Linked DNA regions of Neurospora crassa OR74A. The protein of the gene in region 2 interacts with the protein of the main gene of each other region in a pairwise test. Links are inferred from orthologs where the notes say so. Each region holds a gene or a part of one and is shown on either strand. Other genes may lie near its edges.

Region 1 (4,319 bases), on a different chromosome or scaffold from region 2:
ACTTGCCTATTTACCCTACACAGCTCACCCACAATTCCACGAGACATCATGTAGAAAGTTGGTATGGTGCACTTGAAGGCTTTACACGTTGTTTCTTTTTTATTTTCTTTCAATGTGGCCGTGTTGTTAATTTTTGTATTGTTTGCGATTCCCTGTCGCAAGAACCACGGAGCCAGGCTTAACAGTCGTTCCACGGTTATACTGCAATTTCAGACAACTACATATGTACCTAGTTCTGGGCGCCAAGGCTCTTCCTCCACATTCCCGTCATTGCGAAGTATCACGCGGTTGGGGACAGTCCGTTGAGATACCTTCATATGCGATGACTGCATTACAGCCTATCCTATCCTATCCATACATGCGCGCGTCATGAATCGAAGGCTTCTGTTCACTTTCGAATTCTGCCCCTTTTCTTGAAGCTTGAAAATCCACGGGCCGCGCCGGATGAAACGCGCGCACCCGCACCACGCCGGCTGCTGCCCGTTGGCTCTATACCAGCAAACAACCCTAAACATCAGGCAAATGGCCTAGCACTTATTTCTTCCCCTTCCCTTGAACCTTCCACTTCGAAGCCCTCGCAGCAGCACGACCAGTCTTCTTCTTACCACCACCCGCATTCGGCGCCTTGTTCTTCTTGGCGCCCTTGAACTTGAGATCCTTAGGTTTTCCGTCTGCCGCACTAGCACGCTTACCCTCGAGAATGAAACTCTCGGGGGACTTGTAGGCGCCCGGGACTCTGGGACCGGTCGCCTCCGTGTTGGCGCCCGAGGCGTGATTCCTCCTTTGGTTGGCCTGGTATCTGTCCTGCTTGTTGAAAGTCTTCTTCTTGTCGGAGCCGATGACCTGTCTGGCAGTGAACTTGCCGAGGAGCTTCTCAGCGCGGCCGGCGATGGTCTTGGCTTCGGCGGAGATCTTGGGGGCGTAGTCGGATTTCTTGGAGCCAGGACCCTTCTTCCCGTTGTTGCCTTTCTTCATAGTTTCCGGAACGGCACCCTGCGCCTTGAGCTTCTTGGCTTCGATGGCACGCAGGGTCTTGTGAGGGGCCTTGCAGCGGCTGACGCGTAGCTCGCGGGGGAGCATGGGCGGGAATTTCTTGCCGTTGAGGAGGATGGCTGACTCGACGGCGTTTTCATCCTACGGAGGGGGAACAGAGTTGTTAGTTGATAACGGGCAAGTAAGAGACAGAGAGAAGTGATAACTCACGCAGAACTGAACGTAGGCGAAGCCCTTGCCGACACGGGTGACAGGGTCGCGGACCACACGAACGCTCTCAACTTTGCCGCCCTCTTTACCGAATACCCGCCAGAGACCTTCCTCAACGTCCATAGGCTGCTTTGTCCGCTTCTTCTTCTCGGTCACCTCCTTACCGTCTTCGTCTACCTTCACTTGCAGTACTGTCTCGTCATCCACAAAACCAAGGTTACCGACGAAGACGCAGCGCTTGTGGTCTACCGGGGCAGGATGGGCAACGCTGTCGACACGGATGTGGCGATCCAACACGATTGTGCCGTTGAGTTTCGAGCAGGCAAGACGAGCGGCCGCAGGGGTACTGTAGACAACATAGGCGTTTGTCGACTTCGTAGTGGCCTCCATCACGGACTTCTTGATATAAGCGGCACGCTTGGGAATGGCAGCGGTAGCGAAGGCAGTCGAGCGGAACCGTATCGACTCAACCTTTTGCGCAGGTTTCGCCTCCTTGTCCAACACTGAAGCCATATGCTTCATCAAGGCCTTTTTGGCCGAACGAGAGGTGACGGCCTCGACGGCGACATTGCTGAGGAAGACGGTGCGGTTGGCCTTCTCAATCTCGTTCTGGGCAGCATCGGGCGCTAGCGATTCGTGAACGGGGACCTCATCCGCAGACTCGCTGTCGTCGTCGTCCTTCTTCTCGGCCTTGGCGGTATCCTTCTTTTCTCCGGATTGCTCGTCGGCCTTGAGACGCTTGCCAGCCGGCTCTTCATCGTCCTCCGCCAACTTGGACAGGTATTTGTGTTCGAGATTGTCGTGCTGGTCGGGTTGCTTCCGCTTCCGTTTCGGTCCATCTTCTTCCGGGACCTTTCCTTGTTCTACAACAACTTCGAGGGTCGCGACGGCTTCGTCTTCGCTGTCACTGTTGTCTTCAGCCTCGTCGTCTTCGTCATCCTCTCCAATGCCGACCTCGGAATCGTATTCTTCGTCAAGCTCGCTCAGTTCCTCGTCATCGCCCTCGTCCTGAACGTCTTCCTCTTTCTTGGAAGGTACTGGCGCCTTCTTGGACTTTGTCGGTAGGGGCTCGGAGTATTTTGCAGCTGGGCGGGGCTTCGCTGGACCAACCTACACAAGATTAGCCATGTAAACTTCCAATTGCCTGTCTGGTCAGAGCGAGATGACTTACACTGGTAGCAAACAAAGCATCCAAGCTAGGATCAACCTTCTTCACCGGCGCAACGAGTCCTTTACTATAATAGTGGTGTCAGAATACTGGAAGAATGGCGTTGACTGTAGCGTAGGGCTGTTCGCACGTTTTACCCATTGTGAGTTTTCCGTCGTGTGTAAGCGCAATGGATGGGAAAGTGGCACGATTCGCCAATCAAGCACTTGTGATTGACTTAGTTCTAAGAGCACGGAAAAACAACTGAAGTTCGACGACGAGGCGAAAGATGTGATTGGCTGTAAATGCTGTCAAAATCGAATTGCAAAGCTTCCACTTCTGATTTCTAGCAGGATGTTGTACAAGGCAAGACCAGTTTCTATGCAGGCAGGTTCAATGGTCCAGGGTTTCAAAGGGTCGTCGTTTCTACCTTCCCCACTGCGCATCGTAAGGACGAGTCGAGGACCGTGGAACATCTTGCATCCTCCCATTAAAAAAAAAAACTCGCTTATCAGTTGTTATCAAAGCTGCCAAGACTCACCGCCTGCCATCGCCTTTGTGTGGTGCGCTGGGCTGTTGGAGACGGGCGGCGGCGGCAGGCAAGCGGGCAGGCAATGGAGCCCCCCAGAAACCTGCCGGTTGCCCATTTGTGTTGCGTGCTGGTGCGGTGCTGTGGGCGCTTGTCCAGCTCCCAGTCTAGGTCGTCAACCAGATACCTACTGCCCGCTCCTCACTCTCCCGATCTGTCTTCCTACTACTTTACCTACCCAGACCGCACGTTATCTCTTGACAATCGCGCCCTCGTACCGACAACAAAGCCATATCTCCGAGACATTTCATTGTGTGCGAGCACACATTTTAACCTTCCGGCATAAACACACTTTACCCTGATCGTGGCGCCACAACTTCAGGTGCTGCTCTTGAGCTGCCCGTACAGTTCGGACGTCCAGTCCGCCGTCCACGACTAAATTCTACGTGGCCGTCCAACTTTCCACTGCTCAGCTGCTCAACCCAACATTGGCGCGTCGTTGCTTAGTTTCAATCTCGTCGGATTCTATGATCCGCGATGGCTACCGGTGACACCGCGCTGTCCTTGGCTCTCTCGAGCCCCCCTCCGCCTCTGCTCCAACACAGCCCTAGCGATGTGTCAAGCCCACTTAGTGACGTGGAAGACAAGCATGGAGATCCTGACGACATGGATTTGGACATGAACAGTAACCACTCTCAACATCGCGAGACATCGGTCCGAACTGACAATCGCGATGGCGTCGACTCGGACCTTGGCGCTGAGACTGACGACGAGAGCAAGCTGTCGGACGTGGATATTAATGACTCCGAGGCAGAGACAGAGAGGCTCTACGACACACCACCGAAAGATCGAGTATCGCGCGACATCGTAGACACCGCGGGTGAGCCTGGCACTCGACAATTCACCGACCGCCGCGATCGGACGTTCGAGCGCAGCCCTAGCAAGCTTCAGCAGCAAATCAAATCTGATTACGAACCGGAAAACACTGCCAGCGGGCGAAACACTCCCTCAGAAGAAGCAGAAGTGGGTGACGAAGAGGCCTCGGAAGACCTGAGTGACGAAGAGCCTGAATTTGCTGCCAAACTACCACCTGCGCGATCTCCCGTGCTGGCGAAGAAAGTACAAATAGTTTCCGCCTCGCCTGAAAAGATCCTCACACTATCACCCCGACATGATATCCTAAAGCGGAAACGCTCCTCAGTCACCGAGCAACAAGATCTCAGCCAACCGTTCAAAAGGCGGACTGAGTCAAATACCTTTCCCGAAAAGCTCTCAGCCGATGACGTGCCTGTCGTCGACATTGAGGTCATTTCGACGAACCCCGAAAGCGGCAACCAGTCTGCCGAGGAAGATAATATTAATGAGCCGACCATCACGGCTGGCGCCGATAGCGTAACGAAAGATGAAACGGAGCCCACGGATGCGCTCGAAGAAGACGCG
Region 2 (4,281 bases):
AGACAGCTTCTTATTTCTTTTTGCCCACTCGGGTATCAAAAGCACACTAGACTTAGCTTGAAGCTCAATTACATTTAGAAACTCAACAACAACAACAGAATCGTGCTCCTCACATTTACTTTCTCCTGCCCTTGCCCTTACCACCCTTACCAGCATTGCCGCCCTTCTTCTTAGGCCCAGCAGACCGTCCCACCTTCTTGACGACCTTCTTGAGGTTCAGCACCGCGCCCTTACCGGCTCTCTCGGCGCTGCCCTTCTTGTATGTCCTCTCCTGCTTGCGCTCTTGCATGGTGTCGAGCTTCTTCCTGTCCTTGTTGCTCAACTTGCCCTCGTTCTTGGACTTGAGCTTGTCCCTGACGCCGTTGAGCTCGGCCCGGCCCGCCGCCTTGGCCTTCTTCTTGTCCTCCTGCGTCTCGAACCACGTGCGCTTGGGCCTCGAGCTGATCTCGTCCTCGTACTTGATCATGTTCTCGCCCTTCTTGACCTGCATCTCCATGTTCTGCAGCTGCTTTTCCTCCTTCTCTTCCTGCATAATCTCCTCAATCTCATCTTCCAACTCGTCGATCTCGGCCTGCCACTTGTCGGCGTCCGCGGGATCGATGATGCGACTGCTGATCTTGGCGCCCTGAGACTTGCCGGCCTTGACGGCAGCCTTGACGACCTTGCGATCGGGCTCAGCAGCCAGGGTAATAGCGGTACCGCTGCGGCCCGCACGCGCTGTACGACCGACACGATGGACGTAGATCTCGGGGGTCTGGGGAGCCTCGTAGTTGATGACGGTGTCGACACCCTTGATATCAAGACCACGTGAGGCGAGATCGGTGGCAAGGAGGAAGTTGACCTTTCCATCTCTGAAGTCCTCGACACTTTGAATACGCTATGGATCCTGTTAGTATCACTCATCCATCTGGAGCATCGTAAATCGTAAACATACCTGAGCCTGGTTCATGCTACCGTGCAACTCGGCGCACGACAATCCAAACAGACCAAAGATGATCCTCATCTTGTGCGCAATCTTCTTTTGTCTGAAGAAGATAATGACACGCTCCGTGTAGATAGTCTTGCAGATGTGCAACAGATATCCTTCCCTCTTCGATTCGCGACCGGGTCTGAGACGGACAAACTCTTGAACAAGCGTACCGGCAGTCTTCTTCTGCGAATCGGCCATGATGCGCACAGGCTTGTTGAGACCGGCGCGAATGAGCCTGTCGACAGACGACGTCATGGTGGCAGAGAACAGCATGGTCTGGCGGGACTTGGGAAGGGTGGTAAGAATCTCGTTCAACTCGTCCGCGAAACCGTCCTCGAGCATGCGATCGGCTTCATCGAGGACGAGAATCTCGATGGTGTCGACGGCGAAGCTGGCAGAGTTGCGCATGTGATCGATGAAACGACCAGGAGTGGCAATGACCACATCCGGGCGAAGACGGAGCTCGGCCTCTTGCACCTTCAGACTGAGACCACCGACAGCCAGACAGAACTTGATGTCGGTATGGCTGGCGAGCTTGACAGCGACAGCGTGACACTGGATAGCCAACTCACGGGTGGGCGTAAGAATAACGACGCGGGTGGTGGGAACCTTCTTGGGACGGTAGAGGAGACGCTCAAGGATGGGAACGACGAAGGCGGCCGTCTTACCGGAACCGGTGACGGCACCACCGACGACATCCTTACCCATAAGCGAAATGGGGATGGTCTTGGCCTGAATGGGCGTCGGCTTGGTGAAGCCCACGGAAGTAAGACCGCGAAGGATAGGACGGGAGAGAGACATCTCCTGGAACGAAGACATCTCGCCCTTCTTCTTAGGCTGATTCTCCTCCTCCGGCGCAAAGAACTCCTTCATCTTGGCCTCCTCCTCCTCATCAATACCCTCTTCATCATCCGATGACTGCACATCATCAGGATGCTCAACGGCCGTAGCAACCGAGTCATCATCCGACGCATCGCCCTCGTCTTCATCCTCTCCCTTCTTCTCCCCATCTTCACCCTCACTATCCTCATCCTCCCCATCAACACCCCCCATCTTCGCATCCTGCTTCTCCTCCTCCTCTTCCACGTCCGACCCAACACCCATACCAAAAGCATCGTCAGCCAAGACACCATCCTCATCATCATCCAAATCCACATCAATCTCTTCTATGTCGTCTTCTTCCTCATCAACCTCCATCTTATCCTCCTCCTCTTTTGTCGCCGTGGTTTTCCCCTCCTTAGCAGCCTTCCTCTCTCTCCTCCTTCTGATAATCTCATCGATATCCACAGCCTTCTTGTCCCCGCCCGCGTTGGCGCCCTTCACAACACCCTTGTGCGCGCCCTCGAAACCCCAGCCGTCGAACTCGGCGTCCACTTCGTTCTGGCCGTCGACAACGAACTGGAACTCGGTATCCATGGCGCCGTCGTCTTCGTCGTTGTCGCCCCAGATGCCGAGGTCGGCGGCGTCGTCTTCTTTTGTTTCGGCTTCGTCGTCGTCATCTTCAGTCTGTTGCTGTTTCTTGGACTTCTTGTTGTTCTTCTTCTTTTGCTTGTTCGATTGTTGTGTGGCCGTCTTGGCCTTCTTCCTGGGTACAACTTCTTGCTCCTCTTCTAGTGGGATGTCTTCTTCATTGTCGGAAATGGTGAGGATGAAATCGTCGTCGATCGCTTTGCGCTTTTGGGAGGGCGCCATTGTGGTGGATGGTGTTGCAACGGTCTGTGACCGTTGTTTGTTCTGTAGTGTTGTGTTGGAAAAGAGAACGACGGGAAGCTCCCGATGCTGAGTGGGAATTGGTGGAATCGTCAAGATTGTACAACTGATAGCAGTCAGTGGGGTCTTTTTTCGTCTCTTCCTCCGCCGCAGAACGAAAGGGAAAACAAAAATTTGGGAACCATGCCCGTCTGTAACTTTTTCTGCCGGGCGGTCAATGTGATTGGAGGATCTGGGGATCTTATCAGTGGCAGCTGGTCGACAGCTGCGGGGATGGGTACGTACCATCTCAACTATCAAGTGAGTACCTGCCGTCTTCGGGAGCAACTCGTTCAACACCACATTGTCCCAAGAAATTGAATACGCGTTCATGTTATAGAGCCAGAGGACCTTGTCCTTACTACAGTAGGACTATATTTATACTTGTGCGGGGCATATGGTCCAGCTATTCTCAACGCAGATGTATCAGCCCGTATTATATGATGATACTACACAGGAGTCATCTACCCCGTCGATACCCAAAATGAACGCCAGACACCTTGCCAATGGTATAATGCTAATCCTCAAACCTTCGCCTCCAAAACATCAGTTGCCCACAACGTAACTTTCTTCACATGGACCGCCACATTATCACTCGTGCTACCGTGTGGAGAAGCTCGCCGACGCTCCAAGGAAGTCCTGGTCATGCCCCTGGTCCTGCTGGTAAGTCTCCTTCTGCTTCTGCTTCTTCTTCATTTCAGCGCGGATTCGTTCTTTCTGCGCCTTCAAATGCGCCATTTCAACATCATCCAGCAAGAATTTCTGCTCATCGATATCCCTTCCACGTCCGGACGCGGATGCTTGCGGGTAGAGAGGGTCTCGTTGATATCCGTCACCTGGCAATTCGTGCTCAACAATATCCCACGTAGCATGATAGTAGCCATCTTTGGTTGGTGGCAGCTCAGCATGCGCCCTTGGCTCCTCCAGCTTACGGATCGCGCCGCTTTCCATTGCAGCGTACTCCTCTGTCGATGCGTATGGTGGTAAAGGACCGTTATTACTGGCGCTCGGGAGATCAATGTCCTCCCATGGATGTCTCCTTTCCATCAGAGATGCGGGTTCGCCTTGTAATTCAACTCCTCTAGGTGGTCTTTCAATCATAGACTCGTCGGGAGGCACTGTAGGCGAAGTCACAGCTGGAGTGGGCGTTACTCGGTTGGGTCCATATGAGACGATTAATGGGGGCTGTGGCCGTTGGGTTTGTGAGGTTGTTGGGTTTGGTCGTGGGAGCGTAGTAGGAACTGAAGGAAGAGGAAGATGTGGTGTTGAAGTTGGAGCTTCGGTTGGAGGAGGGGTGGTGTACTGTTCGTAGTTGTGGTAATCGGGGTAATAGCCACCGAGAGGTGCTGCGGAGGCCGCAGATAACTGGGGCAATGAGGGCATTGGGGGTACTCCAAGCCGGCTGTCAAGGGAAATCGAGTCGGCAGCAGCGCGTTCATTAAGTTCTCCCCTGGAGCTTGCCCGCGGCGTTAGCGTGGGAGTGACAGGGTTCGGCCCGTATGACGTAGGAATTGGCTGGACAGTCTTTGCGCGGGCAGCTTCGAGTTCTCGTCCGGTGATGC
Region 3 (3,562 bases), on a different chromosome or scaffold from region 2:
TTTTCGTCCTAATCCCACACAGCGGTGGGGTTGAATTGGATGAGCCGCTCTTTGTGTTGTTGTTTCTTTCTTCTATTTGCTTGTAGCTTCAGGAAAGGCGGGTCTATGTCTGGCGTTGGTGGTTATGGGTCTTCCCAGGTCTATTTGGGTCTGAATCTGGGTTTGGGTTTAGGCTCGTCTCGATGAATAGCAGCAAGCAGGCGTTACGATGGTGTTGCGCATCAAACCCCTTACCATGCGGGTTCGAGGAGTGAAAGGGGGATGTCTCGTGTATTAGTGTATCTGAAGTACCTAGTCTTAAAGTAGCGATGGCCCTTGCGCGGCTCGTCCGTGACAGGATGATACTCTCACAAACTGTAGTGACCGAGATTTGTTTTTGTTCACGAGCCGACATCGGGGGCCTTTGAATGAAGGTGAAAGTAAGGAACCCGTTTGTTCGGGTGAACGGATATAGCCATTCTGCAAGATGAATGATATGAGAAAAGGACCTTTGAGCCAAGCGGGTAACACCATCAAACTGTAAGGCATGAAAAGAACTCTTTAGGTATCTAAGTAAAGGTAGTGGCTACTGAATTGATCTGAATCCTTCAATGATGTTTGTTGTATGACCGGTCCCATGATGATGTATACTCATACACGCTACTACCACCTTTGTCACCAACCTGCCGTGCTGACCTTTTGTTGTACTAGGTTGGAAACTAAACAGATTACCCATCATGGCATCGACACCGCTCTTCACTTCCACTGCTTCTTCTCGCTCCTGCCACAGTGAAGCTTACTCACTTCACCTCTTTCCAGCCCCCGCCTTTCTCCTAGCCTTACCAGGCCTAGGCGCAGGCTTGAACTTCTTGGGCTTGCCGCCTGCTGGGCCGCCCGATTTCATCTTCCTCGCACTGAACCCGCTCACGTCGCCCGACGAGAGGGCGTCGTTGGATTTGGCGTACTTCTTCTTGCCGCCGAAGCCAAACTTGGCATCCTTCCGTTGCCTCTTGGCGTTGGGCCCGCCGCCCTCCTTGCCGTCGCGGCCGCGCTTTTTGCTGTTGTTGCCGCCAGGGCCGCCCTTGAGCTCGTTGTCGACGGCAACGTCAAAGAGGTCTTCGGCTTCGTTGGCGCCGGTGGGGCCACCGCCGTCCTTGCGCTCTATTTAAGGAGGCGGAGGTTAGTTGGCTTCAGTTATCATCAAGTTGGGGAGGGGAAGGAAGAGGAAGAGAACTTGTTATGGAATTAAGAAGGGAAGGGGAAGGAGAAGGGTAGGAGAGGCACGTACTCTTCTTGAGAAGATTGATCTTTTCGAGTGTGTCACGCTTCTGCTTGGCACGCTCCTGTTGCTTGGCCACCTGCACCTGCTTGCCGAACTTCTTGAGGTCGCGCTGCTTGCGCGCCTCGGCCGAGGCCTTCTTGGCCGTGGCCTCCTCGATAAGCTTGGCCTTGACCTTCTCCATAGTCTCGTCGCTGCGCAGCGTCTCGGCAAAGTAGTCGGTAGGGCGGGTGAAGGGGACACCCTCCTTGCGGAGGAGGGCGCGGCCGACGCGGGCGGCCTCGAGCGCCTGGTTCATGAAGGCCAGCTCGCGGGCCAGGTCGTCGTCGATCGAGGGGATGGACTCCTCCGTCACCTTCTTGGCAACGATGGACTGGTGGAAGGCGAATGGGACTTTGTCGGTTGTGTCGAGGGCGAAGCGCTTGAGCGCCGTCAGGAGACCTTGCTTGTTGTTTATTGTCTGGCGCGCCCTCGAAATGGCCTTGACTTCCTCTCCTTCTTCTCCGTCGACGTCGAGCTCATCAATGTCGATCTCATCCTCGTCCTCCTCCTCGTCGCTCGATTCCTCGGCGGCCTTCTGGTACTTGTTTGCCTGGATGCCGGCGGCGGATTGCTTCTCGTTCAGGTCGCGCTCGAATTCTGAGTCGGAATCGGATTCGTCAAGTGCATCAAGATCGAGATCGTTGTCCTCTTCGTCGTCACTACCCTCCTCAGAATCTGAACCGGCCTCTTCCTGTTGCTCTGGTTTCTCGTCGGCCTTGGTCTGAGTGGTGGTTTCTTCCGCCTTCTGCTCCTCCTCGACATCCATCTTGTCCTCTACAGGGGTTTCTTCGACGACCTGCTTGGGCTTTCTGCCACGCTTCTTCTGCTCCTTCTGGGGCTTCTCTTCAACAATCTTCTCGATCTTCTCAGCCTCAAGAGCCTTGGTGGCCGGCTTTTTTGTGCGGGTGGACTGTCGCGGCATTGTGATTATGTGGGGTTGCTGTACAATCGATTTGGATGATGAGCTCGAGAAGCGGCAGCGCTTGCAGTTCTGGAAACTTTTTTTTGACATGGCGGCTGCCATTACCCGATAAGATAAGCCTGGTGGGTCGGAGGCGGACCCAAATGTGGATGCTTGGCGCCCGGCATAGAGGTATCCACAGCCCAGCTCCTGGAAGTGCCCTTCACACTCTCTCTGAATCTGGCACATCAAACCCCAACCCTCAGGTTACGAGTTACAATGGGCCTGTAGTCACGGTGATGGTCACCCACCGAACTGCGTTTTCTCGGTGATCTCAAGATTGATTGCTAGTGTATATCACCATGCCCTGTGTATCTCTGCCCAGTTTCTCGTAAGCTACCCGCAGCCTGTGTCAAGGTGATTCAACACGAGTCTCCTGATACATCAAACTTCGCGTTCAGTGGAGGAGCCTTGTCCCGCGCAAACATCACGAACCTAACCTGGCCGAAACAGATCAGAAATATGTCTGGGACGTCGAGCTGATACATGTAATGGGATGTAGTATATTTTCTCGGAGCCGAGGCCATTCCTCCGCGTATCTTGCCTTGATGATCGATCAAGCGTTCCATTTGCAAGTTGACAGCTTTATCACTAAAGTCAGTTGCTCTGAAAAGTCTTACGAAGAGGCATACGATGATAATGAAATTCACAATCATAGAGGTAGTCACGGTCATGAGAGCATCCAAAGATATGGTGTCAACCGGGGTTTTTTTTTTATTAAAAGAACTAACACTCTTCAAATCCTTCAACCAAGCCAACTCACCCCCACAATCCCTCCCCTCCGCAAACCAAGATCAGAAAGATACAGTGAAAACTCCCCACATGGTCCTCCCCCTCCACAAATTTCATCCCGCGAGTCCCCCCTCCCTGCCAAGACAGAAAGGAAGACTTCCCTCCTCTACAGTCCTATCCAAGAAAATTCCAAGAAAGTGCGCAAAGAAAAAGGAGTGGTGAACCAAGCGCCATACCCAAGCCCGTGCAAGTCCCACCCAACAAAAGAGAGAAGCATGTCGCGAAATAGCTCCCTCCCAGCAGATGGAAGAGGTTGAGGTTGGAAGGTGTGAGTCCGCCGACTCCCAGGTGACGTTTGCCGAAGAGTGTGAACCAAAGAGAAGTTGCTGCATCGTTTCCCGCCGGCGATGTCCTCAGTCCGCAAAGGGTGTTTGGTGTCGAATCAACGACAAAAGAGAGAAAGGGTCCAGAAAGATAAGGTGAGTTGCCTGAGTGTCGAAAATTGAAGAGGGAAAGCTCCGTGTGGACGAAAAGTAGTCCCGTGTGAAGTTATCCCCAACAAAAAGAAG

The links.
Region 1: the proteins of NCU11175 (region 2) and NCU09131 interact in binary tests that used the Saccharomyces cerevisiae proteins (3 or more experiments, as listed by UniProt). The link is inferred for Neurospora crassa OR74A from reciprocal best matches to the Saccharomyces cerevisiae genes DRS1 and NOP12.
Region 3: the proteins of NCU11175 (region 2) and NCU01257 interact in binary tests that used the Saccharomyces cerevisiae proteins (3 or more experiments, as listed by UniProt). The link is inferred for Neurospora crassa OR74A from reciprocal best matches to the Saccharomyces cerevisiae genes DRS1 and EBP2.

Annotation. Positions count from the first base shown.
Region 1 is NC_026501.1:5,442,059-5,446,377, reverse strand, and holds NCU09131 (nucleolar protein 12), read right to left. Parts: upstream 2,815-4,319; 5' UTR 2,513-2,814; coding exon 2,502-2,512; intron 2,439-2,501; coding exon 2,375-2,438; intron 2,314-2,374; coding exon 1,204-2,313; intron 1,135-1,203; coding exon 535-1,134; 3' UTR 79-534; downstream 1-78. Other genes in the region: NCU09130 (hypothetical protein), read left to right, coding at 3,417-4,319.
Region 2 is NC_026503.1:3,109,925-3,114,205, reverse strand, and holds the start of NCU11175 (ATP-dependent RNA helicase drs-1), read right to left. Parts: upstream 2,834-4,281; 5' UTR 2,663-2,833; coding exon 935-2,662; intron 878-934; coding exon 116-877; 3' UTR 1-115. Other genes in the region: NCU00234 (hypothetical protein), read right to left, coding at 3,320-4,281. UniProt on the Saccharomyces cerevisiae protein: ATP-binding RNA helicase involved in ribosome assembly.
Region 3 is NC_026505.1:3,393,320-3,396,881, forward strand, and holds NCU01257 (hypothetical protein), read right to left. Parts: upstream 2,279-3,562; 5' UTR 2,223-2,278; coding exon 1,268-2,222; intron 1,141-1,267; coding exon 785-1,140; 3' UTR 501-784; downstream 1-500. UniProt on the Saccharomyces cerevisiae protein: Required for the processing of the 27S pre-rRNA. Probably involved in the step of the processing of the 27 SA precursor into the 27 SB intermediate.